Caenorhabditis elegans: one gene and its partner. The protein of the gene in region 2 interacts with the protein of the main gene of each other region in a biochemical or structural test. Each region holds a gene or a part of one and is shown on either strand. Other genes may lie near its edges.

Region 1 (17,933 bases), on a different chromosome or scaffold from region 2:
AAGAAGTAACTGCTAAAGGAAAAAGAAAAGCAATTGCAGCAGTGCCACTCAATGTTCGCTTATTTATTCTGGATCTACCCGATCATAAAAGTGAACTGAAGCTCAAGCTCCGTCCATTGACGCCTCATTTGAAATTGTGTTCCCTGATTATTCTTCTTGGAAGTTCTCTTATTTCGGAAGTAAATGCAGATGATGTTAGTATTACTTCGTCAGCTGCAGCCTCTTTTGTTGAAAAAGTTCCAGTAACAGATGAAGTTGATGCGAGTGCAAATGATTCCAGAGCAGCAGGTATTTTGATTGAAAAAATACAGTTTATTTCACATAATTTGTTTTTTTAAGCTGCAAGACAACAAATCGACACGACAGCTACAAAAATGATGGAATGGATCAAAGAGGAAAAGGAAATCGCTCCGCCTATTGTTCCAGCACACCGAAAACCTTCCGGAGAGAATGAAAACCCTGCAAAAGGTAATTAGAAATCGTTTTTTAAACCTAATCGTTAGAATTTTTGGCTAGAATATTTTCATGGAAAAAAGTCATATAGCCTAAATTCGTGTGTGGTCATCAAAAAATTTGTAGATTTTTTTCATTTTTTTTTCAAGGAACATCGAAAATCGAAAAAAAAATTCGAAAATTATCCAGAAAATGATATATCAAAATTTGTTTATGTTGATGAAGAAAAAGGATTAAAAAAACCAAAATAAATACTCGAAATTTTTTTTTTCAATTTTTCGGAAAACGAAAAATCGAAAAACCGACACCCGTGGCTCTTATAGAATGTATTTCAGTTCGTCCCCAATGGAGAGTATCAGCTGAAGAAGAAAAAACGTCACAACCAGCAGCTCCAGCGCCAATTGCAACCAACAGACATAGTCGGTCAAGCCGTGCTTCGACAGAAGAAAAAGCGTCTACAACAATAGAATTCCGTGTGGATTCCAATTCTCGGCATGTTCCAGTTACAGCAATCGCTACACCATATTATCTTCAAAGTGGAACAATGAGTAGAGGGTATTGTTTGGTTACTTTTCTCACAATCATAATTTTTTTTCAATTTCAGAAGATCAAATTCTCCGAGAGCTCCATCTAGAGATGCTGTCCCTCAACCGATCGATGGAGAGACTTTACTTTCATGGTGTCAGAGAGTTACTAACGGATATTCGCATGTAAAAGTTAATGATTTTATGAAATCTTGGAACAACGGATTGGCCTTGTGTGCAGTTCTTCATTCTTATCGCCCGGATCTCATTGGAGATTACGAAACACTGGATATCTCTAATAATATGTCTGGACGCATTTCGAATATTCAAAGAGCCCTCGATTCACTTACTTTGATAGGAATAACAGAAGTACCAACAGTTGATATGTTTCTGACTCCTGATCGGAAACAAATAGAATTTCTTCTTCAACATCTTCGCCGAATCTTTGAAGGATTTGACGAGGGATCTACACCAGCCAGTGCTTCTGATCACAGAATATCCAGAACATTTGGAATTAATGAATCCGAAGAAAAAGTTGTTGCCATGATTACAGAAATTCGAAATCAAAAAGATCTCGAAGAAGCTGTGGATTATAGACACATTCCTGATGAAGTTCCTGTTACACCACAGTTGGCTAGTCGCAATCCGGCTCTCAATCAACCAACTGACGCTGATGACGATGATGCTGAAACTTCAAATATGCGCTTTGAGAGAAGTAATGTAAGCATAACCATGGTGACTCCAGGAGTTGGAGCAATTCGTGCATCGGTGAGTTTTTATTGAAAAAAAAAATTTTAAAATTTTAAATATTTAGTTTTTGTTTTTTTGTTGAATTTCGAATTGAATAATGCTAATTATTTAAAATAGTTATTGAAATCTTTTTTCACTTCAATTCTACCATTTTTAAGATACTTTGTGTGTATAATATAACTGAAATTATAGGAAAAAAACAGGTTCTTTCAATCGTCAGATTTCTTGGTATATTTTCTTATTTTATTTTTTTAATGCAATTTATAAGGTTATACATAACTGAACATTTCCTACTACCATATAACAGCTTGATAAAAATTGCGACACAACTTAAAAAACTTATTAAATACTCGCCCTTATAAAACTCAATTACATTTGTTCCCAGCGAAATAGTCTAATCAATTCTTTTTCCTAATAGATATCCAATTTTACGAGATTCTTATTTTTGAAAATCTTTACAACTTTCAGAATCGTGCATCACCTTCAAAGCGAGATGAACTACGCCAAAGAGCACGTGATTTAATTGAAAAATCAACAACTCCTGCAGCAACACCAAATTCACGGAAAGCGAGTGATGAAGAGAGAAGACGCGAAGAGGTCAGACGGATGCTGAACGAAAAGCAGCATCCAACGGGTGAGAAGTTTTTAAAAACACAAAAGTTGTCGTGATTCTCTATAGTAATCTCCTTTGTTGTGATTGTTTTAATTATTTCTACCGTGTGTTCCCATTTCAGCAATCCCCTCTACTTCATCATCACCATATCCCACTTTCCGTCGTATCGATGGATCAAATACCGATCTTCGTCGTATTGGTTTGTAACATTTTCAGATCATGCTCCGATTTAATTGTTTTAGTGTTGTGACAAAGCATGTAGTGAATTTATTTTCAGAACTCGATGTACACAAGTTCAAGAAACGTGATCCATCTCCGACGCTCGTCCGCAAACAATGTACATTTTATTATTTCCTCATAGTGCAGTGATTTTTAACATGTCAATTGCATTATTAGGAACAATTTCATCTTAATTTTGTTTTAATTACAGACGATCCCAATGATACTCCTCATGTGCCAGCAATTGGTCGTGGCAGAACAAATGGAAATCGGGTCAGTCATTAATATATTTAAATTCTCGGCATTTCGTGCCTACTTTCTCCCACCTTTTCGCCTTCCGGCAAAAAGGTGGGAGAAAGAAGACGCGAAATGCCGAGTTAACAGTTTAATCCCGAATAGAGCATTATTGGCAACACCGATTCAGGAAAAATATGTGTACCTTTAAAGATACAGTTACTTCAAATCCTCGTTGGTGAGGTATTTTCATAGATTTTTCATAGTTTTTCGATAAAACTTTTTTTTTTATAAAAAACTAAAATAAAACAATAAAACACACATAAATTTAAAAAAAAACTATGAAGAATCGATGAAATATCGACAAATACGAGAGCTTGAAACCTTGCGTCAAGACCAGCTACCGTATATTTTGTCGCAAACTATTTTGTCAGTGTAATAAGTTGTCTGATTTTCAATTTTAAACATTTGAGTATTATTTTAAGCTTTAAATATGAATGTTGTCAATTAGCTGTCAATACCACTAGCAATCCTCATTTCTATCTAACCATAATTTTTCTTTCGTCGATATTATCTTTAGTTCTTCTCTGTTCTATATTTTCTTTTTTATCATACACCGCATTGTACAGTATGCCTAACAAGTGTTTTGCTCACATTTCAGAACGATTCATCAACTCCTTCATCAGCTTCTACATTTGATCGTGTCAAGAGATATGGGAGTATGCGTAGTGCAGAATTGAAAGAATCGTTGCAGTTGATGGCGAAACAATACGGATACATGGTTTGTGATGTTGTAAAAAGTGTAATGTAATGATTTTTGCTTCTATTTTAATCAACATAAAATTTAATCATGGGTGCAAATTGAAAGTTACCGTCTAAATGTTATTATTTTTAGGGAAACGATTTCGAATCATCTTCGCAAGACGCTCTGGCGACACCAACCAAAAAGTTCTCTTCCCAATGGGAAAAAGACGTCGATGACGTTGAAGGAACCGCCAATGAGCTTGTTCGTATTGACGAACGTATATCGGATATTACAGCACAAGCCGATGTAAGATTCTGAGAATTAAAGGATTAATTCAGTTTGTTTTGTTTTCAGGTTATTCAAGACAAGATCCGTGAAACAGAAGTTGGAAGTTCAGAAGAAGAAATGTTGACTGCATCATATCTTGAGTTGACAAATGAACGGAACACTCTTGTACATCGACAGGAATACTATAATATCATTGAGACAATTCGTCAGGTTACTTCGGAAATTGACCAATTGGGAAAACAAATCAATGAAGTTCCTGATGATTTCCCTCGTTCTGATGAGAATAAGACGGCAACGGATAAACTGATTGAACAATATAGTGATGCTATGAAAACAAAAAGTAACTTGGTTCAAAAGTTATTTGCAACTGAGGACGAAATGTAAGTGTTTATTGCTTTGTTGAACCACGTGGTGTCAGGCTGTCCCATCACGGTTTGATCTACAAAAAATGCTGGAATTTTTCGCCTAAGAAAGTGCCGTCAGCACGTTCTTAACCATGCGAAATCAGTTGAGAACTCTTCGTCTCAACTTCCGAATTTTTTGTAGATCTACGTAGATCAAACCGAATGGGACATTCTGACACCACGTAATAAACTACTTTCAGTGAAACTAATGAAACAACATTCGAAATTTTCAGCGAAGAAGATTCGGATCGTTTGAAGAACCTTACTTTGGATAGGGCTACTCGCTTTGTTCGTGGAATAGATCAGCCTGTTTCAGCATCGAAGCGACTTATTCAATGGTGGCGCCGTTAATACGCTTCAACGTTATTTATTACTCAATTTAAAACTACGGGTCTTCTTCTCTTTCTGAAAACAAAGTTTCTCCCAGTGTCCCTTTGTTATCTTCTATCATTTTTTCTCCTTTCCATAATTCACTCTTTCCCGTTTTTTTGGCAAATTTTTAGGAGTTAATCAAAACATCAAATTTTTCTCTATCTTTTCATCTCTATGTGTATATTTTTGTATTCAGTTTTCTTTTCTCTCGGTGCACACAAATCCAAATGCTTTCAGCTTTCAATAAATCAATTCAGAGTTTTAAATGATGTTCAGCAAAAATTCATTCGAAAAAAGAGGAAAGTGTGTGGAAGACTGGTGAAAAATACTTTACACGTGGAAATATTTAGCGTAGAGATCAAACAAGTGGGATAGGAAAAAGCAAGCTCGAATTGTGAGGGAATGTACTGAAAGAAAAAACAAATAAATTTGAGAAATTGAGTGATATGGTTAAAAAATGAATCGCATTTTGCAGGAAAAAATACTCGTATGCATTAATTTGAAGAAAAATAGATGAGAAGAATAAACTTAATATTGTACTCTCATATTACGAGAACACTAAATCCTGAGAAGGCGTATTGCGCAACATATTTGACGCGCAAAATATCTGACCGAAAACTACAGTAACTTTTTAAATGACTACTGTAGTGCTGGTGTCGATTTACGGGATCGATTTTCACTTATGTTCGAATTGCGACAGTGATATTCAGTTTTTCGTATTGTTTTGTCATTTTTGTGTTTCTTTTAATATTTAATCGATTAATAAAATGTTTCCGTAAATCGACACTAGCGCTACGGTATTCATTTAAAGTGTTACTGTAGTTTTCGCTACGGGATATTTTGCGCGTCAAATATGTTGCGCAACACGCATTCCCAGAATTCAGTGTTTGTGTAATATATTCTTGCTAAAAATAAAGAGAGTGCAGAGAAAGAGATAGATGGAGACAAATCAGGCGGTACGGTATGACGCAGATGAAATATCTGCTAGATCATCATCTTCGAAGACTTCTTCACAAGCAAGGCTTACAAGACCAATTTCTTCATCTGGTGTACTTCCGGAATTACTGAAATTCTTATTGATGTTTAATGAACAACTGAAAATATTGATGGGGCACATGGTGTCAGAGTGTCCCATTTCGGCTTGATTTACGTAGATCTATGAGAATTACTAAATTCGTATGGTTAAGAACGTGCTGACGTTACATCTTTCTGGGTAGACAATTCCCGCATTTTCTGTAGATCAACTCCTAATGCGACAGCCTGACACCAATTGATGGGATCAGTATTGTATCGTAAAAGTGAATCCTGTGCTCCACAAAACTTCTAATCACATGTCGTATTTTCCTTATCAGACTAGTATCCGCTTGTTCTACTTTGACAGCCAGCTGACTTTGGTTTTAAAAAATTGTCAACTGACAAAATACGCCCAAAACATTTTTCTATAGTTCTAAACATAGATATTTGATTAAAATTGAGACATAAGAGATATAAGCTGTCAAAGTAGAGTGATGATGCAAGTTTATTAGGGGACATACGGTATGTGATCCTACCGTAGTCCACGTGAGAATTACGGTAGACTACAATATAATTACTGCAAGAAATACATTCAGGAAACCGTGAATATAGAGCTCTGTTCAAAATAAATATTAAAGCATGTCACAATTAAAGTGTTTGTTACATATGAATTATCGCATTATTGTGATACACTGTTGACTAGGTTTTTTTTAGTTTTGAAAAGATTAAGTTTTTGGTTGGAAAAGCATTTAACTTTTGATAAATTTAGGAAGATACTTAAAAACTAATTAGCCACTATAATAACTTACTAATATTCAGTACTTTCCGATTGTGGTCGAATATCTTTCAGTTTTGGAGGACTGAGTTTCGTAGAACATGTCGGCTTCTCTGTTGTTGGAGATGTGACAACTGCAGATACAGTACGAGGCCGAGACGATCTTCTAATGAATCTGATTAGAGGTTACATACTACGACCGATTATTTATAACTAGGAATTATATAGTCTACGGAAATTACCAAGAGTAGAAAAAATGAAACTTTAGACTTTTAGAAACATATAATTCTCAAATATTTCTTCCCGTTCAAACGTGCTACATGCTTCTGAAGAGTTCAAAAAACGTGCGAGATCAATCATATCAAAACTAATCTAGATCTATGTATTTCAGTGAAAACCGGTTTCTGAAGATTCTTCACAATTTGAGACCAACTCACTTGCATGTATTTATTATCCTACTTCTCATACTGCCACGTGGTGAAGCGAACCACTCGGCAGCCCTTGTTAAATTGCTGCTACTTTTTCTTCTGCATTCGGCTACAGCATTTGATTTACAGCAACTATGAACTGCTAATCCACAATCTTTGCACTTGAAGCCTTGTCTCAAAATCCCCCACAACAATTTGTTGCAATGATTGCAAGTCGTTGGAGTTAAGAATGTAGTTTCATGGAAATTGTGCTTGAATCCTCTTCGTAAATCTTTTGTATTCTTGTTTGCAGCCATAAAATAGGTCTTCAATTCATCTTTTGATATCTGTCCATCCATATCAACATCTATGTTCACAAATGCGTCAATAAAAGGGAAATTTCCAGCAATCAACTGAAATTCTTCTTGAGAAATGAATCCATCTCTATCATGATCATAGTGTTTGAATACTGCGTCCACCATTGCACTGATATGTTTTGAAACTGTTGCATTATCAGGTGCAACTGTAACTCCAGAGGCCCACTCAGCGAATACGAGTCCACGAGATGGTTCGAACTAAAAAAAAGAACAATTAAAAAAAGTTAGTTCGTTGACAAGTATTCTTTAAAGGGGTAGTCGCAATTATTTGACCAAATACATTTCAGGCTAGCCACATAAGACTGTATTTTATAATTTTGAGTATCATTTCGAAATCCGGTTTTCAGGGGTCTAATAAAGCAAAACCGAAAACCGTTACTTTTCCTGCAAACAGGAATCTTTGATTTTGTCAAAAATTTTCTGGAAAAAGTTCACATTTATCGAACGCCTCTATACAGGAAATTTTGCAAATTAAATTATAGAGTTTTTGAAAAGTTTCCAAGAAAGTTGCCATCAGATACCATGGTACTTTAAAATATACTTACATTCATAAAAGTTTTTGGTTCCCGTCTCAACGACAGCTCGTAAATATCATCATCGTTGTACCGAATGTCCAAAGACACTTTCAATGTGTTTATCAAATCCATATTCATTTCGGGAAGATTATGTCCTTTTTGATTGAAAACCAGAAAATTTGAAAGCAGTTTGGAAAGTTTCACCAATTTATCACTACTGATGCATTTTGTTTTCTCAAAATTTGCACCCGAACAATTGATTGCGACTAGGTCTTTGAGATGTACACCGCTGAAAAGTTGAAACATATAAATATTGAATTATTGAACTTTTAGAAAATTAAACACTTCAAACTCACATTATAGGTATCCGGAACTTTTTGTTACACGCTCCTAATGCTTTTCGATACTCGCAGAAATTGTGTTGAGCAGATAAAAGATTTGTCAACTGAGTCAGTTCTTTTTTGATATCGTTTGACAGAACTGCATATGTTTTGGCAAGTCGAGCCACTGATGAATGAGTTATTCCACCAACAACGGACATCAAAGTGTTAAAATTATTGATCTTTCGTAGATGCTTTGCTACATGAACAAACTTCACAAGGATCTCTGCTCGTTCTTTTGGTGTTGTCTTGTTAAGGATCATGCACTGTACCCAATTGGAAAGATTCTGAATTAATTATTGTTTTTTGTGTGATTTCGAGAAAAAAATCAAGAACCAAGAACCTACACCCAAAACGTGTTATTTAAGTGCTTGTTAAGCCACTGTTAGAATACAAAAAAGTGAAAATTACTAGTTTCTTAGAAGGCTCAAAGATCTGTCTATATTTGGTCCTGGCCGCTATTTGATCATAAACGAAGCAACCAATCCATTAAAGCTTCTAATTAAAAAATGCTCAATTTTCTTCAATAATATTTACTCACATTAAATACTGAAATACTTCTTTCCAACATTGGACATGATCTTAGATGTCCATCTTTCACATATTGCTTGAGCTCAGTTATCTGAAATAAAGGTAACCACAATTCATCATTTTGTTGTTCTAATTTATATTATTCTCACCGAAATTCTGGACAAAACGCGATAGTCGATATGAGAAAGTGACGTCGAAATATCGCTAGGGGATGCTTGGACAAATGAAAGAGAGAAGGCAGTCTGAAAATTAATTGATGTTAGAAAAAATTCATGAATATTCAAAGAAGTTGATAAATGTACTAGTGAGAATTTTTTCGAGGCAATGGGAAATGGTGGAGGGGTTCCCGGAGTGGGCAAAGTCTCGAAATCAACTCGAACTATTGTCTGAAACTCAAGGCTATTTTTCTCAAATCAGATACAGACAAAAAGCAAAACGAGGTATTCAGCGAGTGATATTTGATACAACTTTTTTTTGTTCAAAATTTAATGTTATCAAATGTTGTAAACGACAGAATGACCATCTTCGAAATTATCGACAATTCTGCAATTATATGTAATCATGTCGTGGAAATTCACACAGTGTATAAACTCTGCTGGATTTATGTGTTTTTTTTAAGTTGACTCTTTTTATGCAGGCTATGCACATTATAAATATAGGTCGACTAAAAAAGAGAAATTTAAACTCAATAAAATTGTGCATCTTGACAACATTGGAAACTTATCAAAAATCTCTCAAACTAATTTTTCTTCTAATGGCGAGTTCATCTCTTTTCAATGAAAACTTTTTGAGAAACTTTCCCAGTATACCACTTCCTGAGGAATTCTTAAATGCTTGCTTACTCATTGAATCGAGGAGCAAGTTGGGTGCGTACTTTTTATTTCAGGGTTTTGTATGATTCATTTATCTAATCTTTTTATCCGTTAATCAAAAAGATTACTTTGCTAATCCGCAATAGTATGAAATAGTTCAAAAAGTTCACATGATCTGATTCAGACAAAACAGCAATATGAACTTAAAAATATAATGCAAACTAATTGAAACCAAATTGAAATTTCTCTCCACACATCAACACCATAGCTCGCAATTCCTCGAAGCCTTCACTCTACAACAAAAAAACTTACCTGTTTAGCCAATGGATTTCTAACTGAAACTGCTCGAAGCCACGCAAATGACGGTCTGAGTTTGTTTCAACTTATTTATTTTTTTGTAAATTGAAAGTACTTACAATGCACTGACATCTAGACCATTTCGAATATTTTCATTTATATCTTCTGCTATCGTTTTCAATCGAACAACTTGTGCACAGACTTGAGGTTGCGCATCGAAATGCATTGGAAACTTTTCGATCCAAAATGATACCGCTCGACATACTGCTTCTCTTTGTTCGACGTTTCGAGTTTCCTTAAAATTTGATATTATTACTATTTGTTTTCTGTGACAGTCTTTAATTCAAAATAAAAATGTAAATAAATTTGCAAGCTTCACTCAGCCAGGTGTTTTAGGAACATCTGAACTGGGCGCGTGAAGCCGGAAATATAAAACTCAAGAGCAATAATTCAATTAATACTACAGATCACAACTTTTAAATTACCTGATAGAAGTTCACGAAATGTGTAATAAGTGATAAACTATCACTCAACCATTGATGACTTAAAAACAAGGCGTCAACAAATTCAATATCTTCAACCTCATCCTCCTCGTCGACATCTATAAAATTACCACCTGTGGTGTTAATAGGGTTTCACTTTTTATTCCTACCAAAGCATTCAACACATCTTGCCACAAGTTGATCTTCTGTGAGAAGTTCTTGATGTTGATCTTCTTCAACTTTACTGCTCATCGTCGTCGTCGTCGATGCCGTCTTCACGACGAACGATTGAGCAGAAGGAAGATTGTCTCAAGATCTAGAAAGAACGTTGGTAATGGTCTGAAAAATAACGGGAAGAATTGAAAATGGGCACACGCACACATGAATTGCAGGAATTGCAATTTGAAAATAAAATGCGATAGGTCTCTCTCTATCTTTTTCTCTTTTTACTGGCTATTTTTCTGAGGACGAACTGCTGCTGCGTCTCCGTTTTCTCGTTTCAATTCTCGGATGCGCGCTGCTTTTGCACCCCTCTCGCACGCGCATATAAGGGGAGGAGTGAGGGGGAACTGAAAAAAAAAGAAGAGGATGAAGAAGAAGACGAAAATGAAGAAAAGAAGAAGCCCGAAGTGGTGGTGGTGGAGTGAGGAAGAGAGAAGAGAAGCTGAGAAATCGATAGCCTACGGCGAGAAAAAATAGAATTGAGAGCTCTGCCAACGCCTTCTTTCTTCGGAAGCGGCAGAGCGCAAGCGGTAGCCATAAAGAAATTGATGGAGAGTGAGAGAGAGAAGTTCGAGACTTTTAAGAAGTATATGGACAAGAAGAAGAAGAGAAGCTGGTGAGTTCAAAATGAAAAGGATATAAATGAAATAGGATAGAAAAATATAGATAGAGCTTTTTTGTTCTCATTGAACATACTTAGACTATTTATTATTTAGTTAGTATAGAAATAGTGCAAAGAATATTAAATTTAAAATATATTCCTGGAACATCAGAATTCAATCAGAACTAAAAAACAATGTTGAGAACTTTCTTAGAATAGCAATTACTTAACTTTCTGGAACGGGCACCAAAAGTCTAGAGATGTGTGAAAAAATTGGCGGTTCAGAAATACGAGAAAAGTTTTCGAACTTAAAAAAGGTCAAATGATGAAGCCAAAATTTTAATTTTATTGTTTTTAGTGTTGAACAAAAGGCTCATTAATTTCCCTAAAACAATGCATCGGTTTTTAATATAGTTTTGCAAAGAAATAAAAACTATAATCTATGAAAAAAGATTAAAAATTCAAATTTCCAAACTTCACAGATTATTATGAAGATTTGCAAACAAAGAAGCCAATTTGAAAATTGTCTAGAATAATCTTGGTCTCGAGTGTATATGATCTTCAACAAATTTTTGATCCGAAATAATCGTTTTATTTTCCGTCGCTTATTCCTTATTTGTGATCTTTCACCAAAAATGTGCTGATCATTCATTTCAAACGATTCATTATATCCATTATTACTTCACGGTAAGGAGTACACAATTCAGACAGATTTTAGCAATGTCGTGGTTATTTATTTCTATATTTGGAATACTGAGAAAGTTTTAGATTCAAACACATTTTTGGTGAATGGTTAATCTGATAGTTTTATTCGCAAGTGTTCAGTTTTTTACTTGAAATAAAGATTTGGATCATTAAAAACCAGCAGAAATGACTCCTTCTGTGCCTATAAGCTTAACAGAATTCCTCTGGAACTGGACAGGTGATAAAGTTATTATAAAGATCAGTAATATAGGTACGTTACCCTTGGAGGATTTGTATTTGATAACTACGTGGAAAGCTCAGGGCGAGGTCAGATCACTTAAAGCAATACAAGTATTTCAAAAATTAACAAAAATAAATTAATTTTATAAGTTGCGCACTTATTGGTCGATGTGCAAAATAATTTTTAAAAAAAGCATACCCAAGCCCGAACAGAACAAAAAAGAAGAAAAAAGCAGAACTTGAATTCAAAAACATTCTATTTCATATTTTACATAAAAAGAATTCCAGGAAAATGCATAGAAAATGATTCAGAAAGTTTGAAACTTGTCAAAAGTTCAGAAGTGGATAGAATCCAAAAAAGTAGGAAAAAAACTGACAATCAATCAGAACAACTTTCATATGATTGACAAGATCCGTCACCAAAAACTTTGTGCTCTTTTTTCTCTTTTCTTGTCCCAAACGGGATGGCGTCAGTGATGGACGGCGCTCATCCAAACGGTTTATCTCCCTGTGACGTCATTCAATTGAGCCGAATTGATGAAGATTGGGGAGGTAGAATTGACGGAAATAGCTCCTCTCCGCTTATTTTTGAATTCGTTCTTCTTATTTGTGTCCTCTTTCTCTCCTTTTTGCTGCTTCTACTGCCCCCGTGTCCCGCCGTCCAAATCTCACGTCACTTTCATTTTCCATTTTTGAGCAAAAAAGAGACAAGAATGAAATTCGAGAAAAATGAGGAGAATGAAGAGCAGTCACTTGAAGACGTCGAACATTTGAAAGAAAAGAATGGAAAAAAGTAGAAAGTTGAAGAAAAAAGAGAAGTAGATGATTCGAATTGGAGCGGAAATAAAGTGTATGCATCTTGAGATACAAATGTAGGAGGAGCCTGGAAATCATTAAGAAGACTAGGAAAGTTTCAAATGAGATGATGAAAAGAAATTAAACGGGTTTTTGAGCTATTCAGGTTCTCATGAAAAAGGATAAACTGTTCTGGTTTCTGAAAAATAGCGACAGATCAAGAAAGGGAATTCGGAAACGTAAATACCCAAACAAAGAAGATATAATTCTTACACCCCAAAAATACCTGGAAAATAAAGAAGCAGTGCTGTTCGGCTATTGGAAAAATCGACTTTCGGGCGAACCGAGCTTAGGTTTTTGAACGGATTTCAGTTGACTCGATTCTGCTTTTCATCGCAATCAAAATGCTCAAATTTGCTCATATTTAACGTTAAAGTAATAGAGAAATATAACTATATGTTATTCTTGATTTATATTCCTTCAATAACGTGTTCTCATCGTGAAGAATGTGATTTTTCGCAAAAATCTTAAAAAATTTCCAATGATATATGTTGGAACGCCGTGCCAAACATTATCCGGCTATCGGCTACGAAGTTTTCTTCAACATTTTTTTTCAAAAGCGATGAAGAAACGGAAGAAACAAAAGATGACCTCACTCGTATGCCACACTCGTATGCCGGAATAACAAAAAAATGAGGAAAACTGTCGCAAGTTTCACTAAAATTCAATTACCGTATTTCCTCTATTAGTATTGCAGTCTCTTATATTTTTGCACCGCTCTTTTTGCCTGACCAGCATTACTTTGCGGTAACGTCAGAAAAATTGTCTTTTTTTGGGCAAATTGAACTTAAAATCACAAAATCGTTCAAATTATTGATGAAATATTAAAAAGTGTGTATTTTTCCTTGTTTAAACGGTATCAAGTTTCTACAAAAAATAGGCCAATTTCCAAAATTATTGAGCATACGAAAATTAGTATTTCAGCCTCTAATAGTCTTGCAGTCTCTATTAGTCTTGCACCCCTACGGGTTAATCGAAAATTAGTCTTGCATGCAAGATTAATAGAGGAAATACGGTAGTTTTGCCTATCACTATCACAACATTTTGTGGTATGATGACTGAATGTGTGCTGATATAAGGGGGTATCGGAAACGAGTGTCACGAGATTATCGAACTACGATGGGATCATCTATTCCGGCAGCGATGTGTGTGGGGGCTTAATGCACAATATTTGAATGATGAGAGCTCATTCGAAATGAGACAAAGTTTTCTCATCGAACGTTGGAGGTTGCGACTTTTGCATTCGATGCCAATTTGAAAATGGAATTCCTTTAAAAGTTTAAGCAAAAAACAAGACTTTCTTGGTTGCCACACTTTGAAATTAAGCGTACTTTTGAATAACCGAATCAAATTAATTTAATAAATCCGAATAGAAAAGAACATAAACATTTATTCGAAAAAACGAGAAGAGATCACGAATAAAAATAAAATAGTAGTGTATGTGAGCTAACATACCATCAAAAAGAAGAACACACACACAAAATCCATGAAAGGGAAGAACATACAACAAGTTCATGAAATGAAAGAGAGAGAAAAGTGAGTGGATGGAACTGAATAAACAATAATATCTATGCACTACTACCGGAGAAAGGAACAATCACGAGAATGTGTTTATATCACTGGAAATTCGAGACAGAAGAAAAGTTCAATACATTCGAGGAATCATACACTAGTTGACCGCTGGCATCATACGACGTCTCGCAATTTTCTTTCTAGGACGGAGAACCTGAAAATAGATTAGATGAATTTTGAATTGGGAGAAGAGTGGAATAGATAATAGAGTCAAAAATAGGTATATGAAGACTACATCGTAGTTAATAAGAACCAAGATAATGCAACAAGAATAATCTTGAATCTAGCTCTTGGTCGGAATTCAATGTTGCGTTTTTGCACTTACATCTAGAGTTAATTATACTTGATCAAACAGTCTCAACTACCACTTCTGAAATTTCCCCAAAAACTCACCACAAACGAACAAACAAGATTCTTATTGACATACATCACTGCAGCTGCATTATCAAACTGTCCACAGTAGAACGGTGCCGAAAAGATTGTAACCAGACGACGATTAGCAAAGAATTCGTAGCCGTCTTGCACAACTTGATGAGCACGAACCACGAGATCAATTTGAAGACGATCGAGAAGTTTGCGAAGGGCATCTGATCCAAAAACGTACGAAACACCACGAGAGTTCGGGTTCCATCCTTTTTGGAAGTTTGTTGGATCGCTCCAAAGAATGTCAATTGCAAGCGTATTTGGCTCAGGATTGTCAAATGGACGTTTGATAGCACGAAGTTGACTGACGTTTTGAAGCTGTAAAAAGTTCAAGTTTATTTGTACCGAACCGTAAAAATTTGATACCATTTTGGAAACACCGCCATGCATACACAAAATTCTCTGACCAACAAGAGCTGTCAATGGCATAACCGAAAAGACACCTTGAAACGAATGCCATACGGATGGTTTGTTGTAACGGCGCTGACACTCTTCGTAGAATCCATATTGCCTGTTGATAAGTGAACATTCGTGATTGCCTCGCAACATGAAGAAATGGTTTGGAAAGATGACTTTGTAGGCGAATAGAAGCAAGATTGTTTCAAGGCAATGCTTTCCACGATCCACATAATCACCAAGAAACAGATAATTCGCACGATGTGGGAAGCCGTTTTTGTCAAAGAGGCGAAGAAGATCACTGAATTGTCCATGAATGTCACCACAAATGTTAATTGGTGAGTTGACCTCAATGAGCATTGGTTGCTTATTGAATATGCTGCTGAAAATTAAACAAATTTTTCAGAGCTTTAAAATCATCAGAAAATGTGGCTTTGCAGCATTTGAAAAATACAGGGTGGGCCAAAAGTATGGTAACACGTTTGCAGCTCTATAACTTTACTAGTGGAGAGAGTTATTACATCAATTTGTACAAGTTTTGTTCTCCATAAAATACTGACCAGATGAACGTTTTGAATTTTCAAAATATTCCCATCCGCATCGCTGCAGGCCTTCAGAACTTTTGAGATCACGACCTTTATGGCACGCAAGTCGGCATTCTGCGGGATTTCTACATTTTTCTCGAGGAATCCATCAAGTGTCTTACAAGTTTTTATAGTTCAAAGAATGCTCTTGGTCTAGAGATTCTTTAAAAACAAAAATCCAAATAATTTCTATCACGGTATTTCTGTCATGCACTGCGGCAGTAGGTTAAGTCTTGAATGGCATAGTCGCCAGAAAGATGGATGTGAGCGGCGGCAGCAGTATGCAGAAAAATTCATTTTAGTATTTTTCGAGACGTTTTGACCTGACTTTCCAGAATTTTTTTAGAAAATTGAGCTCGGATGATTTTGTGGGTCATTACGCCTTGCGAAACCAAAAAAACTGAGTAAATTTCGCAAAGTTGAATTCATGAAATATTCAAAGGTTCTTGCTAGGCGCCAGTGTCGACACAGAAAATTTTTATATGCTATAAAAACAATTAAAAACGCTTTTTCACTTCTTTAACTTTAAATTTAACATAAAAATCATACATCTGAAAATTATTGGCGTGCGTGGGAGGTGTGTTTGTGTGGGAAGTGCCGCGTGCCAAATTACCGTTTTTTCGGAAGGGTTCGCCAAATTGTCGAGGTGATAAAGATCGCACCTTATTGAGAAACATTACAAATTTTGAGTCAAATTGAAGGAAATTTATTCAGCTATCAGTATTCGATAGAAGAATGTACGTATGACGTGGCAGTCGCGCGAAAAGCTCATGTAAAAGAGCGCTTCATGTGTTACTTTTGGCCCACCCTGTATTGTATCAAGAGAATATTTCGGGGAGATATCTTGAATCCGGTTACATGACACTCTTCACCTAATACAACATTTTCAGAAGTGTTCTCTAGTTTGAATATAATAACCTACAATGCATGAAACAGCAAAGTTTCTACATCCTCAGGTGGAATAAGACGTGTCAGCTCCATATCTGTGCTCTTTCCGCTTTCAAGAACTCGCATCAGGATACTGTAGGCAAATTGAATCTGAAATAATGCTCTCAAAGGAATATAAAAATTGAGGATAGTTTTATAAATCATCTGATCACTCTTCTTAATATAACTAATTTATAATTACCATTTGACTTGAAACATTTCTTTTTATAGATTATTATTTGACATTAAATGTGAAGTTTCATTAGTAGGGATATCCCTTCAAAAAAATCCAGAAAATCTCCAATTCACAAAAACCACTAAAAAACGGGAAAGAATGAAAAATCAAAATTTCAAAAACGTGATGTTCCTATTTTTGTTATTCCCTGTGTGAAATTTCTCCAAAATGAAAAGCCATGTCGACTTCGAACCAATCAGCTCTATACACTCCATCTGATTGTCTCGAAAATGAATGGAGCGAATCGCTGATTGGTCACAGTTATCCTTTTGAAGGAAAATCAAACAGGGAATTGAGCCAAAATTGAAACATCTTGTTTAAAAAAAACATTTCGTCTCTAAATCTCTGAATTTAGTTTTTTTGAAGCGATATTCCCATTCACGCTTTGTAAAACTGTTACAAACCATGCTCTTATTCTCCGGAGTGATTGCGGTCTTGCTGTTGCTCTGTGGCACACGACGCGTCTTCTCAGTTTCATTTGCAATTTCCGGTTTGGTCTCCAACTCCGTTCTTTCCGTTTTATCAACGTTATTAGTTTTCTGTTTATTTTCTAAATACACTCGTTTTCTTCTCTGATTTTAATAATCATATAAACTCACTTCCTTGAAGCATTGTCAGATTCTCTTGTTGTTACAGTTGATTGAATTTCTTTATGAATTTCTTTTCGGCAAACTGGGAATGAATTATTTTGGGAAATCGGGACAAAATGGGCATTGAAACGTGGAAACAAAAATACACGATGCAAAAGATAAGATCTCGGGCTGAGAAAATTATTAAAGGTGACACGTGAAATATTGCAAAATGGGACCGTGGATTGTGAATTCAATTATGTAAATTATTGGAATAGAGATTTTTTTTAAATAGAAAAAGGATACAGGTGTAGAAAAACAAATGAATTAACGTTTGAACTGGTGCTATTCAACTAATCAATTAAACCCCTAGAGTCGGATTTCAAAAAATGTAGATTAGTCATTGAATAGTTCATCCAGAATTGGCATAAAG
Region 2 (14,721 bases):
AAATTGGCAATTTGTTGAAATGAACAACAACTCAACTCGGTAACTTCACTGAAAATCGTTTTTTTTACTCAAAAAAAAATTACAGATACAAATTCGACTTATCTGTCGGATTGAAACCAAAAACGTTCTATCGAGTTCGAATATCTGGAAAGAATTCTCACGCCGATGGACCAGCTAGTGAAGTTGTAGAGTTTGAGACTGCGTATTCGGGTAAGTTTTGTAGAATATTAATCCAATCAGAGCTAACATTTGACATTCTAGAAGTTCCGATTCCAACCGATTTAAAGACCGAAGTACTTGATGATAACACGATTCATATAAAATTCAATGCAGTCAGAGATCCTGATGATCATTCTAAAGCTCTTGGTGTAAGTTCAACTCACAGGCGATCAACTAGGCGTATGTCGCATTTGAGACAAGTGGCTCCTGACTTTCGTTCCTCTGTGTAGAAGCATTTGTACAGACAAGTCTTATTTTCAGGAATACCGGATAGACTTGGCAGCAACTGATGATGTTCTTCACGCACTATGGAAACAAATTGAACCGAAGTCTATTAAAATTGATGAGATCAGTTCGATGGTAACTGAGATTAATTAAAATATTGATAAGAAATACATTTAACCAGGTAGATGTGGAAATTGATGGTGATTCAGTTGAAAAAAATCAAATGTATTGGGTTAAAGTGACTGCAAGATTGGACAATCCATCATGGGGAATGCATTCTTCGAAACCTAGATGGTTTAGAACTGGTCATGGAAGTTTGTTGTTTTTTTTTGTCTTTTAAAAATATTTAAAAATATTAAATTTTGTTTTCCTCTAAAACCAGAATATTCTCAATCTGTTCGCTTTTGATTTTTGAATCGTGTGAAACCCAGTTTTTTGAGGTCTTATTCTACAGCCTGTATACAGGAAGGCAGGCATGCTAGGTAGGCACGTAAGAAAGCATGGGCAGGCATGTATGCCTAATGACGAGTCCATGCTCGGATGCCTACTTACATGCCTTTATTATGCCTTCAAGCCTTCGTACCTGCCTGCCAAACAAACAACTAAAAAGTTCAAATGTTTTTTTTTGATACTCCAAAAACCGGACGCCTTATTCCAGTATCCAAAAATACCAGACATCCGGGTCCGGTTCACTACTCTTTGAACCGTAAATAAATTATTTAAAAACAAACATAGATGTGTCTTGTAAAATGCATATTTTATCACAGTAAGGGGAAAGCGAAGGGCGTGAAAAACGCCCCAGGTGACTGTGGAATGTATAGAAAACATAAGTTTTTTTAATTGAAAACAATTTTGCAGAACTCATGACGTCGGTTACACTGGAAGGTGCACCATTAATTGAAAAAGAGCCAAATCTGTTTGAAGAACTGTCAGTAACATGTACAGGAATGGGAAGTCCAGCACCAATTATAACATGGGAATGGATGAATAAATCAATTGAAAATGGAACTGAAGGATGGAATATTTTAAATATTCAAATTGATGATACAACTGTTGTGTTAGTTTTGAATAGTCGATTCATGTTTTAAAAATATTGTTCCAGCTCAAAAATTACCAGAAACAATATTCGCGAGTCGGGAGATTTAACCTGTTTGGCAAATAATAACGAAGGAAGTTCTTCTGCGGTAAGAGCCTTTTCTCTTTTCTAAAATAAAATATTGGTGTTCAGTCTGTCGAAATTCGAGTTTTGGGACCCGGAAATCCACCAGAAAATATAATTTTGACGGCATACCGTAACCAAATAAATGTGACGTGGCAAGAGTCGACACTTCCGAATGGAGATATAATGGTAACCTCTTTGTCATTCTTTTGCATTATCTTTTAAATTCAATTTACAGAAGTATATTGTATATTACTCTGAAAATGAAAATGATGATTTATCCGATTGGAATAAATTTGAAACAGCAGAATTGGAAACTTATGTGGAAACATTTGGACCACATACTAAGCATTTTATTCGTGTTCAAGCTGTGTCTGATCGAGGGCCCGGAATCATTTCAAATGTACTTTCATGCATTTCTGATGTGCTTTGTGAGTTTTTGTGAGCAAATTGAAATATTAAAGATTTCGTCAAACATGGAATATTTTGAAGTTCTCTCTTATAAAAATCTACCTGAAACAAAACAAAGAAGATTTTCAGATGAGACAATACACTTGGAAATAGTTGCATCGAATATTCTTGATTTCGAGGCAGAACCAAATCAAAATGTTGAGATTCGATGCAAAGGAACAGGAAAACCACAACCTGAATTATTCTATCAGTTTGCGAATGAAACAGAACAAAACTTTGTTGAAGTTGAAACAAATGACATGGATTTGTTCGAAGCAAAAGCTCCAGAGATTAATTCAAGAAGGAATGTTACAGTGACATGCAGGGCAAGCAATAAGTATGAAAATGTCACGATAAGCAAAGTTATTATAATCAAAAGTAAGTAATATGTGTAAGAAATTCCCTGATGAGCTTTTCACAGTAGGAAGACACGAATCCATGCGTGCCTGCCTTATGCCTGCCTGCCTAAGTCTAGGGACTACTTTCTTCATTTTACATTAGTTTTTCATCCATAGATTTTCTATGCGAGTTCATTTCAGTTGAAGGACGCAGGCGTAGATCACCGCGAAAGTAAATTATTTTTCAAAGCCTGTTCCAGTTCTAAATTTAGTGGCAATTAATGGGAGACTAGTAATGTTTCAGGACCCGGAGAAGCTCCAACAAATATCAGTTGGAGTTTTGAAGAAGAATATGACTCAACTTTATATATAAATTGGAATCCAATCGAGAATGCAAATGGAGAAAAACTAGAATACAATTTATACCTGTCGAATTACAAAACAAAAGTTTCAGGACCGCCTGTTAAAATTCCTGATGTAAGATTTTATTTTGGGTTGCATTTTATTTTTTGGTTTCATATTTCTTTTCCTAGTTGACAGTTGCTTAGTTTCAAATGTTCATCTTTTAATTTTTATAAAACGAAATTTCAGATTCCTCTCGATGTCAACATTTCACTTCGAGTATCGGCAGAAAATGAATATGGAGAAGGAGAAAAGACATTTCCAATATGGATTCCAACTCCAAATGGAGGCCCAAAAACTGCTCCAATTCTTTCTTCACTTCATGCACAAGATTCAAAAGTTTATATTTTCTGGGTAGAACCAAGACTTCCAAACGGAGAGATTCAAAATTATACAATTTATATCCAAAAAGAAAATGAATCAGAAAATGAAGAACATAGTATTGATAAGGAATGGAAGGTAGGTATTCAAAAAGTTTCTGTTTTGGAGAAATTCCCATTTGCCAGATCTTGAAGTGGTATATTGATTCTAAAATAATTTTTCAAATCATGATTATTTTGAGAATCAAAATGTTTCAAATGCTTTATTTATTCTAACTGTTAGTTTTTCAGAAATTCATTTATGGCTCGAATATAACTCATGTCATAATTGGTGTTGATGATGGTTTAGAAGAAAATGAAAGATATCAAATGAAAATGACAGCAACAAATCAAAGACATGAAGGTCCTGAGACGAAGGTATGAGATTTGAAAAATAAATTCTAAATTCCAATTTAAGTTTGTCCTAATATGAATGTGTTTTATCAAGCAATAACCAAACTTTCACTTGAATTACCTGCCCCAAGAACGCAACAAAATATCTAGAAGTTAGCATTTTTGGGTAGGTTTTGATTTTGAAAATATCCGTAATTTATCAAAAAAAGAATAGTATATCTGGAATTTAATGAAATACGTTTCAAGATAAACGACCACTCGGTCACTTTTCCGTTATTTATCCAGACAATTTCTTTTGAATGTGTTTTATATTTTCCAATAAATTTTCAGTAGACATCGATATTTTGAAAATAAAATAAATATTCGTCATTGTTAATCTTTGAAATGATGTTTCTTTGATGAAAACTCTCTGATCACATTTTTCATCAAATTTGATGTTTCACATTACTGTGTCAGTTGATACTTGTACCTATAGGTAGCCAATCGTCATTTTTTCATTTCACATGTTTCAGGTATACACTTTCGATTTGATATCCTTTGACGAGAATGACGTCATCGATAATTTCACAGCAATTGTTATCAATTCAACGGTGTTCGTCGAAGTGGGAAATCCCATTTATACAGTAAGTCGAATTGACTTCATATTTTGAAAATGATTTTTGTACTGTTTCAGAAGTACAATATTTATATTCGAGAAGATGGAAATAATCAGACTGTCAAACATGAAATTGATGTGGAAAGTGGAAAGACAACATTTGAATTTCCATTTCAGTTAGATCATACGTTGAGGTAGATTCTAAGATTTGTTTTAAATATATCACTCGGCAGTTTCAAAAAAAATCAACTCAAAGATGCTCTCAATCCAAAGTAGAACAAGGCATAATTCCAGTTTCGCGATTTTTAAAATCATTCCTTAGAACTTTTAACCAATGATCATGGTTTATTTTATTGAAAACATTGTCTCGTTTAAAAAATTACACTCCAAAAAAGATCTTTAAAACTGATCTTGCCACAAAATCATTAATCAGCAAAGTGACTTTTGTACAAATGTTAATCAGTTGATCACATTTCATGTCCTTTAGAAATACGCTCTTGTAAGAATGAAGAGAAGAAAGATTACAGAACTATGATCAAAGCTACGAACTTATTCTGAATTTATCTAAATATCATTTTTCGAGTTCCCTGCCAAGAAAGACTACGTCTTAAAATTACTGTGTTTCACAATTCAACTTCCTTTTGTCAAATTTCAGTTATACAATCAAAATGTCTGGAATGAAGCTTGGACGTGAAAGTCCTCCATCCGAAGAGATTGATCTTGAATTTATAAGTTCACCGTCTCCAACTCCAATAATTTCCGGTTCCCGTCGAAAAGTGATCAAGGAGCCGCCACTATAACCAATTATTTTGAAAAACAATTAATTTTCGGGTAGACTCTACGAAATATTTTTTTTTTCATTTTAACTTTTCAATGCCCATTACGTTCTTTCATTAAAACAAAACAAATATTTTGTATGTTCATCAATTTGTGTTATAAATATTTCATATTATTTATCACTGTAAAGTTGTTTTTTCCAATACTTTCTCCACAGGAAAAACAAAAATAAAAGTGATCGATCAGTGAAAAGAATTTCAAAAAAGAACCAGTTTATCAGAATTTTTGTGCGTCAGACTATAAAAATGGGGAGAAAATGTAGGAAGTTGATAAAAAAAACTGAATCAATTTGAACAATTAATATCCCATACATCCTTTCAAAATTGGGAATTCTCGAGGAAATTGGCGTTCTACTTTGGGAATTATTCCCATTGCACAGTCAACTTTGAAGCAAACCTGTAAAATTATTAATTGACTAAGAAAACTAGTTGTTAGAGGTTAGAGCTCTCTGTGAGCTCTTGAAAGTTTGTAATCATATAGCAAGACTATTCTTAAATTTAATGTTTAATTATGAATTTACAAAGTTATTTTCCTTTTTTTGTTTAATATTTAATTAATTCAAACACTGAATAAACATACTGCAAGTTCTCGTTGAAGTGCCTTAGATGGTCCATTCTTTGGAAGAATTCGTTTCATACATGCTTGACCTCTCTTTTTCAATTTTAATTGTGTGGCAGTATCTGTTGGGACTTTCTGAAAATATTTCCCATTCGAAATACTTCAAGTAGAATTCAAAGAAACTTACATAAGCTTCGAGTACCAAAATTGTGGCAAGAAGGGCGAAAATTAGGAAAGTTCTAGACATTTTGGAGAGAAAATAAAATATTTTTTCTATATAAAATCAGTGAAAGTCGGAGAACCTTTAAAGGGTAATTTCAGGGCTATCGTACCGCCCATAACAAGTTCTTTACTTGTTTTCGAGGGGCGTTCCTTGTGATTTCATTTTGATGCGATTCGCCCAAAGCATGGCCATGAGTTTCATTGATCAAATTTATTAATTCAAAGCAAGAATGATGAAGGTTGGGGAGATGGATGGGGGGAGAGGGAAGATTGGAATAGAATAGAATAAGTTAATGTTGGGTCGAGTGGAACATTTTTAGTGTAAAAATTTGTAAAATTGAACAAAAATAAATATAAATTAATTAAAATAAAACGAGAAATGATGTTGGAGGATCAAAGATATGCCTCATTTGGGGGACAAAATGTTTCAAAAAATTGGAATTTTCGACGGCGTTTTCGTGGGATATTATGTTTTTTGAATGTAAATAACTGGAAACTTCAATTGAGAAGGCACACTGGTTAAACGGGGTTTTCATGCAAAATTAGGAAGAATGATGATGTTGATGATGTCATTAGAAGCTAAGAGTTTTGTGTGTGGGTTATAAAACAGGTAATACTTTCGAGTGGAAATGGAAATGAATGAAACAAAAGAAACTACTAGTAATTAAATGGAAATGTCCAGATGAACCAGAAGCGAATGGTTATTATGATTTTGATGATTGATTCAACGGAGAAAAAGAACGGCGAGTACCTTGTAAAAGGAAGTTATGGGGAAAAATTGATGATGAGAAGATGAATAAATATATTTTCAAATTTTGTAGATAAAGATAATCACATGATGACACACGAGCAGCACTGCTTATTTGATTGTCCCTGGCGTCGACCAGATTCGGGATAACGTCGGTTTATTTGACGAACGAGGTCGTAGAACACCTGAAATATAAATTATTTTGCTATTTTTACTTGAAATTCCATTAACTACACATTTAAAAAATTTTTGCATTAAATTTTCAGTATCGCTGGGGATTATTGTTTTAAAATAAATGCTATTGTGCTAAAATAGCCAAATGTTATGGGGTTATCCAGAGCATAAACAATTAATTTTTCACCCAGTTGGATAACCCATTATAATTATTTTTTCAACCGAAAAGTGTTAATTGCTCATTTCCACCTTATTCGTCGTTATATCGTTATATTATAGTCGGCTAAAAAAATATTCCCTTTTTTTATATTTGAATTAATTGTTTTTGAATATTGCACGGGTTCGAGCATGACAAAATTGTTTCAAGGCTCTCTTTTTGCAAAATTGTGTATTTTGGTTTTCTTTTACTTTTATTTTTTTTACGTACCAGAAAACAAAAAAAACAGTCTTTCAAAAACTATAATTTTTAGTCGCCAGAAAGAAAAAGGTGGAATTTTTGTACTTTCGGAGAAATTCAATGTTTTTTGTACAAAATTCAAACAACATTTTTTGTCGATTTTGAGTTTCGGGGTTAAAAAATTTGTGGCAGCATTACAATCCATTTTACTAAAAAAAATTAATTTTGCCAATTTTTAAATTGTTATCAAAAATTTCACTGTGAGTTTCAAAAAACTGTGTGAAAATATTTTTTTAAGTGTTTAACTGTGATATTCGGATTTTTTTTAAATTGTTAGCCTCCTTTTCATTGAGAAAAATATAGAAATTTCAAAAGGTTTTGATACTCACCTCGCTGACGTTAATCTTTGCTTTTGCAGAGGTTTCAAGGAATGCTGATCCAAACTGCCTGGCGAGATTCTGTCCCTGATCTTTTCCAACAACTCGTTCGTCTTCCAAATCACACTTATTTCCTACCAAAATCATTGGAACCTTAAAATAAATAATTTGATTATTTCCTTTTTTTAAATCAAGACCAACCTCGTCCGTATCTTTGACACGAAGAATCTGATCACGAAGATCCATAAGATCATTGAATGTCGATTGAGCAGTAATTGAATAAACGAGAACAAATCCTTGTCCATTCTTCATGTACAAATCACGCATCGCTGTGAATTGCTCCTGAATTTTTAAATTTTAAACTAAAAAAGTGAAAGTGAAATTAACTTACCGTTCCTGCTGTATCCAGTATCTCAAGCATACATTGCTGGCCGTCGACTTCCACTTGCTGAAAACACGAAATTGATATAAAAATTCAAATTTGTTGGTATTATATTGCCCACTTTGCGCCAAAAATACGGAATCCGGTCTCGATATGATACATTTTCGTGGAAAGCAAAAGGGTGTGCGCCTTTAAGGAGTACTGTAACTAAAAACTCTCGTCAGGAAAAATTGACAACATTTAAGTGGTTTATTGTAATATTTGAGTTTTGCCCACTAAGTGTTTCATCGATAAACAATGGAAAATCGATATAAACCCTTCCAAAAACGAGTTTTAAACTACAGTACTTTAAAGACGCGCACCTTTTCGAATTTAACAAAAATTGTCGTGTCGAGACTAGGTGCCGTATTTTTTGCCGTAAAATTTCGTATTTGCGTAATATCAGAAGCTTTAAAAATCAATTCTTACCTTTCTGTAACTATCCTCAATTGTTGGGTCATACTTCTCTACGAAAATTCCCTGCACGAATTGTACCGTCTGAAAATATATACAAAAACTATAGATTTCCGGTCACTCTCATCTATACCAGTGCGGATTTTCCTACTCCTCCAGATCCGAGCACAACAATCTTATACTCCCGCATTCTTTTTTTGAAGATCTGTTATGGTGTTGTTGATGCTTGGAGTATTCCCTGCAATCGACGACCCGTGATGGTGTCTTCGAAATGCTTGGATGAGTGAACGTGGAGAGAGGGATGTACTGAAAATAAAAAATTTTAAAATAGAACTATTGAAATAACAAGTTTCAAAGAATTTTTAAAAGACGAAAAAGATGAACGACACAGTCTTTCTTTCTGAGTTCACTTCACAGAACACCTGTTATCCGAGGTTGGCACCAAGTACAGACCAGATGACACATTTTACATTAAAAAATTGTACAGCTGGTGTAATTTTGGAATTACGAAATTAGTTGAAAATGGAGATTCAGAAAATAGCTTCGAATTTTACAGTGAGGGAAAACAAATTGAATAAGTTTGATAAAAATTCCACCTAAATCTTTCGAAACGTCAGAAAAACGTAATTTTAAAATCGAAAACAGCAGACAACAAAACTGAAAACAAAACAAAAGCGGGTGTCGTCGTCGCCGTTAATATTTTTCGACTATGACTCATTTTTCAGTGTTTGCAGAACGAAGAAGGCTCTCAACCACAAATGGGTTTCGAACGGAGAATATTTATGTGCTGGATCGTAAAAACTAAAAAAAAATGGAAAGGAATGGAAGGTTTAAGAAACGGAAATAAAGAAATACAATGATATGTTCCCCGAAGAATGTACAAATGATAACAGAAAATAATAAATTATTTTTTTCGATAAAAATTGGATTTTATTTTATTTTCAATCTCTATTTTTCCTCCCACTCAAATCGATTGGATTAAACTTTCACATGACCTATATATATTTATGAGGATTTCGATACAGACGGGCGGTTTAAAAAATGACAGAAAAAGAGAATTCTTATATATATATATTTATAATTATTCAATTGCAAAAATTAATTCAATTCTACTAGAAAACAAAGAAAAAAGAGAGAATATTTAGTTTTTGACTTTAAATGCAGATCACACAAGAAAAGTATAACAACCTTTCGATAAGCGTAGATAAAATAGGTGATATTTGGGATTTTAAATTTTTTATTCAATTTTAAAAATTTGGTTATCGGTGTTGATCTGATTGCAAAATGCCTAGAAAATTTCTAGACAACATTACATATTTCTATTAGAAAAATGTATTTTCGTGAAACATAGAGACTGGGAAAACTACAGTACCCTATTCAAAATTTAAATTTATTCGAAATTTGCAAAGTCATAAAAATTAATATAAATATAGGTTTTCAGATCAATCGAAGTGAAAAATATGCTCTAAGCATCACTATCAGACAAATGTGCTCATTATTTCTTGTTGTCGAGCTTGTCACGCTATTTTTAGACGGATGTCTAGTCCAACGAGTACGTTGAAAAAAAAATTGATGATGGATTATTTAGAAAAATGATGACAACATGAATTTATGTATGTATCGAGTGCAATAAAGTTTTAAAAAAAAACCTTATCAATATAATTATAAATCTAGAGAACTTGTATGACACTAGCGGCCTTCTAATGGGAATACGCTGGCTCTCAATAAAAAATATTGTTAATACAAATTTGATATTTGTGCATCCAAGATTAAAAAAAAACAAAAGCTTCAAGGTGGCAACAATAACCTCATGAGCGGCCGTTAGCCGGCGAGGCGACGAAAAGAAGAAAGAAAGAGAAGAGTGATTAGTATAATCATATCATCCACACTTTCTTTTTCTTTTTCTTCAGCACATATAGATGATAATATGTGTATGTGTGAGTGTGAAGAGATGGAACAAAACGAGAAAGAAGCGTTGGAACGAATAGAGAGACATAGAGATAGAGAGAAAAAGCCAGGAAAACGGGATGCAGTGGGCCCCCAAGTGCGGGTCATCAGAAGCTACGAGATATTATATGAAACAGTGAAGGTAGAGAAAGAGAGTGATACTTTTGGATTATCACTTTGAAACTGTTCAACATGATGCCCAATCATTGTCACTCGGAAACCACCAAGTAGAATTTTCGGTCCGTATTTTTTTCAATTTTTCGGAGCAAATTTATTCAAAGTGGTTCGAGAAAGTGATAGAAATATTGAAAATTGTGGAGTTAAAAACCCGAAAACTAATGATTGAGAATTGAAATCCCAGAGTTCAAAATTTTTGAATCAGAATAAGAAGAAAAAAGACTTGTAAAGCTATGAAAGAAAATATAAATGGTCAAAAGACAACTCGTTTCGAAACTACATCTATTAGTGCGTGTGTGCATATTTAAATTATAGGAATAGAATCCAAACAAAACTTTGAACATAGCATAGCGTTCAATATTTTGAATGGAACCACTCATTCAAATGTGAAGCTTTAGCTTTAATTCATATTTGATAAAAGTGCAACTAGGCAGCATAATGCGGAAATCAACGTTTGGCAGATAAATTCTAAAAAATCTGAAAATCTCTTCAACTAATCTTTTCGGGCATTTCCTTTTATTCTCTTCACTCAGCGAGCCCACCGTTTTCGTAAACATTCTCGTTGTCACTGATAATCCCATAATTTGGTTGCTTCGAACAACAACTTTTCATCCAATTAGTTCTCTCATTAAAGGATCATGGGCGGATGATGATGATGAAATGAGAAAGATGAAAGAAAAAAAAGAGGGTGGTGGAGGAGGAAATGAGGTGGATTGACTCATTCTTTTCTTATAGGGGGAGATTTAGAGGTTTTTGGCTTATTCTTCTTGGCACGAGAAATCTGAAAAGAACAAAAACCAATCTCACAGTGATTTCAATAGGAATCTATGACTTATAATGCCTAATATCCAATTTAAATGCTGCGAAGTTTTAAATGTGTTTACACAGTGATTAATTGTGTTGGAAAAATTTACTAATTTCAGTAAAATAAGGAAGTGTTGATAAACGATCACTTATAATTGGGATTTTTAAGGAAATTTTTTTGATAATATTAACTATTAACACTGAAACAGTGAGTCAGCAATTAAATTTTAACATCACTCGTACGAAAGTTAATATTCACTTTCAGAAAAAATAAAATGAGAGTGAAATAAAAAGGGTACATGTAAAAAGAGGAAGATATTTAACATCCATACTATTAAATGAGATCTTTAAAGCAACTTACAAAATGTTGAGTTTAAAAAATTAAACGATTCAAATTTCAAAACCGATTTTTCTTGGAAAACAAAGCGAGGTGAGAAAGAATTAAAATCGAAATCGAAAAGGTGGGAGACTAGTCGCCTCCGATGCGTGGTAATGTTGGTTTTCGAGACCAGTATCAAATACGATTCGACGCGGACGGGAGACCCCTACTGACTAATGAGAGACAGTGTCCAAACAGAGAGGGTGTGAGAGATGTGAGAGGTAACGACAGTTCAGTAGCGAGATAGTGCAAAAGAATATGAGAATCAGGCGTCGTGCAGAACGACACGCACGTTCGGTTCGAATTCGGACGATAATCGATCGATTTTTGGAAAATGAACAAAGTGGGGGAAGACGGACGGTACGAAGAAGGACGTCTTCGGATAGTCTGCGTCTGGCTAAAAATGAACGAAAACGGGTTAATTTACTCCGATTCAAAGTGCATTTTATGAGTGGAACGGGCAGGAGAAGTAGAGGGAAAATAATTATTTTGCGACGGAGAGATGAACGATGTCAAAGAATGGGAGGCGAAATTGTAATTGTTCATCTCTGCTGTTCACTTATTCTTCCTTTTCCGGTCGTCAATGTTTTGAAGGTTTTAGTTTCGATTTTCTTTTCTTTCTTATGCCGACATTCTTTTATAGAAGAAAATATTAGAAATATCACAGAAAAGGGCAACAATGTGTTCACATAGTTCACATAAATTTATTATGTATTAAGAAAACATCCATTTGCATAATTATTTTCTGCCAACAAAGAAAATGGGGAATTAAGTTCAGGAAAATTCTTGACACGGTCATAAGTTATCCCATGCTCAAAGCTTTCTAAATTTTCATTATCATGGAGAAAAAAGTGAAGATTTTGAACCGGTGTCTTCACATAATTTTAACTTTGCCAAAATTGGAAAACGTTTCTTATTCTAACTTCTAATGAAAACTGAGAAATGAGAAGTACAAAAAAGATTGCTGATTTTTTTCAAAACATTTCAGACACAAGAACAGGAGAAATAGAAACAGCCAATTACTTTTCAAAATGACCGATGAAAGTGACAGGTCCGACGGGCTACTACTGGATGCAAACATTTCGCGCACACAAGCATCTACTTTGTCATATTTCTCATCTACTTCGTAACAAATCCTAAACGTTTTCTTCTGGCTTTGAAAAAGAATAACTGGCAAATAGGCTCAGCATTTACAACAAAGATAAAGAAATTTGCACCAGAGATTAAGAACTCAATTTTGACATTCTAGTCTACAGAAAACGCACGTGTCAATCTGACATTTTTGGCTAAATCCTCGATGCTATTTATGGAGACCGGGGATGCGTGTTGGAGTTTCCTTTTGGGATTAATCCTCAAAACGTGAAAAGTGCCAAAAATAAATAGAAAAAGTTAATATTATCAAGTTCAGACTAACAAAAATAGAAAATATCGGAAAAAGGGAAAAGCCGAGGGCTAACACATAAAAATAAGAGCGCACGATGGTAATTCCGGCGAAATTTCGTGCCATTCCGTGAGAAATGCCTATCAAATGCGAACAGAATTTGTGAGAAGGGAAAATGAGCAATTCTTTTTAGAAATAATCATGGGAAAACTGCATTTTTTAAAGAGAAAAAAATATTTCGAGGAAAAAACTAATTTCAAAATGAAAACAATCGGCAAACGCGCCAACTCACGCCGAATGCGCCAGCAGTAGTACTTTTCGATGCAGCAGTTACTGTAGTTGAAAATTTTTTTTAAATCAGAAATTAAAATAATTTTTATATCTGAATTCCCAATTAAATGAAAAATTAGAACCAGTAAAAATTATTTTAATGAATTTTCTAAACCGGCTGCCCCCGCATCCAATTTCCACGTTGGTTTCAAAAAATGAAAATGTCTCATGAATCTCTGCCAACAAGGTGACACTGAAAAAATGACGGAAAAGCGGAGAGAGCCGTTTTGCATGAGCATGCTCACTCGAACACACGCATTATTGCTCGGTGGCGGTTGGGCTGGCTCGACAAACAAAGGAGCGGCGACGACATTTTTGAAGATTAGAACACAGAACAGCCGACGATTTGAACATGGAGAACACATGCACACAATAACTACTGTCCGAAAAAGAAAGATGGGTTGTGGAAATGAGATAACAAGAAAATATGATGAGAGAGAGAACCGCGTCATTGAGTAGAAAAAAATTGCACTGTTTCTCAAAAGGCTTTTGCTCGAGTATTTTTAAAATCAATAATATGTGGATGAACTCCTAAATATCGGTATTAAAAAATTTGGTCAAATATAAAAAATTTCATTCGAGTTAATATTTTTGTTGTAACTCTTAGATAAAAATTAAATCAACATTTAAAAATTAAAACCTGTAGATTTCAAAAAAAAAAATATTTGAAACAGAACAATTACAACAGAATAAATGTGAAGAATCTCAGGAAGCAGAAACACATTTTGAACATCTGGTGGGCAGACGGAGATTGAAAACCTACATTGGACCCGATGAATAGAAAAAAACGACGATATAAAGGAGTGTAGAGAACAGAAAAATGGAGGAATTTCCTATTCGTGAGAACCTGAACCTTTAATCACAATCGACAATTTAAGTATGAAATTTGTTTAGGAAATGGAGAAATTCTTGATATAATTAACTGTTTTTTACAATCAAAAAGAAACTATAACAGGTATCATTGTCTAGTAATGAGAAGAGCTCGCGTGATGATTTGAAGTTGGAATATAGACTTGTCTTGTTAAAGCTGGTGTTTCCTGTTGAGCACGTGGCCCTACTATCTCATCATCAGCGTCATCTACTACGACGCTTGTGAATGCATCTTCTTCAACGACTTCTTCTCCTACCGGCATCAGAATCATCATTTCATCGTTTGGGTGAGTAGGGTGTCCGTATTGATCAACAATTATTTGCTTTGGGCGAACATTCATGTGATGTTGATTATGCATTCGAGATTCTCGTACTTGAAGCTGAAAATTGATACTGGTATAAGTAATCTCGTACTTTTTATAAAATGAAAACTCACTGCGTCAATCTCTCGATATTTCTCGATTCTCATCTGTCTAGCAATCTCGGTTTCAGTTGGGTGTTCATGTCCAAGATGCCCGAAACAGGCGACAACTTCGTATTGCCCATGATTTCTCATACAACATTTAATAAATGCAGGACACTGC

The links.
Region 1: of the proteins of rap-1 (region 2) and rgef-1, one has a biochemical effect on the other in vitro, tested with the Caenorhabditis elegans proteins (one study listed by BioGRID).

Annotation. Positions count from the first base shown.
Region 1 is NC_003283.11:9,551,165-9,569,097, forward strand, and holds rgef-1 (Ras guanyl-releasing protein 3), read right to left. Parts: upstream 10,508-17,933; 5' UTR 10,445-10,507; coding exon 10,363-10,444; intron 10,312-10,362; coding exon 10,196-10,311; intron 10,006-10,195; coding exon 9,830-10,005; intron 9,781-9,829; coding exon 9,726-9,780; intron 8,844-9,725; coding exon 8,751-8,843; intron 8,693-8,750; coding exon 8,612-8,692; intron 8,358-8,611; coding exon 8,047-8,357; intron 7,980-8,046; coding exon 7,721-7,979; intron 7,374-7,720; coding exon 6,829-7,373; intron 6,558-6,828; coding exon 6,426-6,557; intron 5,667-6,425; coding exon 5,552-5,666; 3' UTR 4,863-5,551; downstream 1-4,862. Other genes in the region: ehbp-1 (EH domain-binding protein 1), read left to right, coding at 1-288, 340-468, 789-1,008, 1,058-1,745, 2,196-2,361, 2,462-2,539, 2,618-2,677, 2,771-2,832 and 4 more; F25B3.4 (Serine/threonine-protein phosphatase), read right to left, coding at 14,464-14,520, 14,760-15,107, 15,156-15,567, 16,692-16,807, 17,336-17,481, 17,531-17,543; F25B3.5 (uncharacterized protein), read right to left, coding at 17,897-17,933.
Region 2 is NC_003282.8:8,910,336-8,925,056, forward strand, and holds rap-1 (Ras-related protein Rap-1), read right to left. Parts: upstream 8,556-14,721; 5' UTR 8,440-8,555; coding exon 8,383-8,439; intron 8,334-8,382; coding exon 8,265-8,333; intron 7,863-8,264; coding exon 7,806-7,862; intron 7,757-7,805; coding exon 7,616-7,756; intron 7,568-7,615; coding exon 7,427-7,567; intron 6,652-7,426; coding exon 6,550-6,651; 3' UTR 5,915-6,549; downstream 1-5,914. Other genes in the region: Ig-like and fibronectin type-III domain-containing protein C27B7.7, read left to right, coding at 1-39, 86-210, 262-368, 481-579, 626-758, 1,303-1,501, 1,547-1,628, 1,673-1,792 and 8 more; C27B7.9 (INSulin related), read right to left, coding at 5,236-5,334, 5,518-5,631, 5,684-5,743; D1046.16 (uncharacterized protein), read left to right, coding at 11,815-12,150, 12,545-12,565; D1046.2 (C2H2-type domain-containing protein), read right to left, coding at 14,233-14,517, 14,574-14,721. UniProt on the Caenorhabditis elegans protein: Required in the hypodermis for proper formation of the cuticle.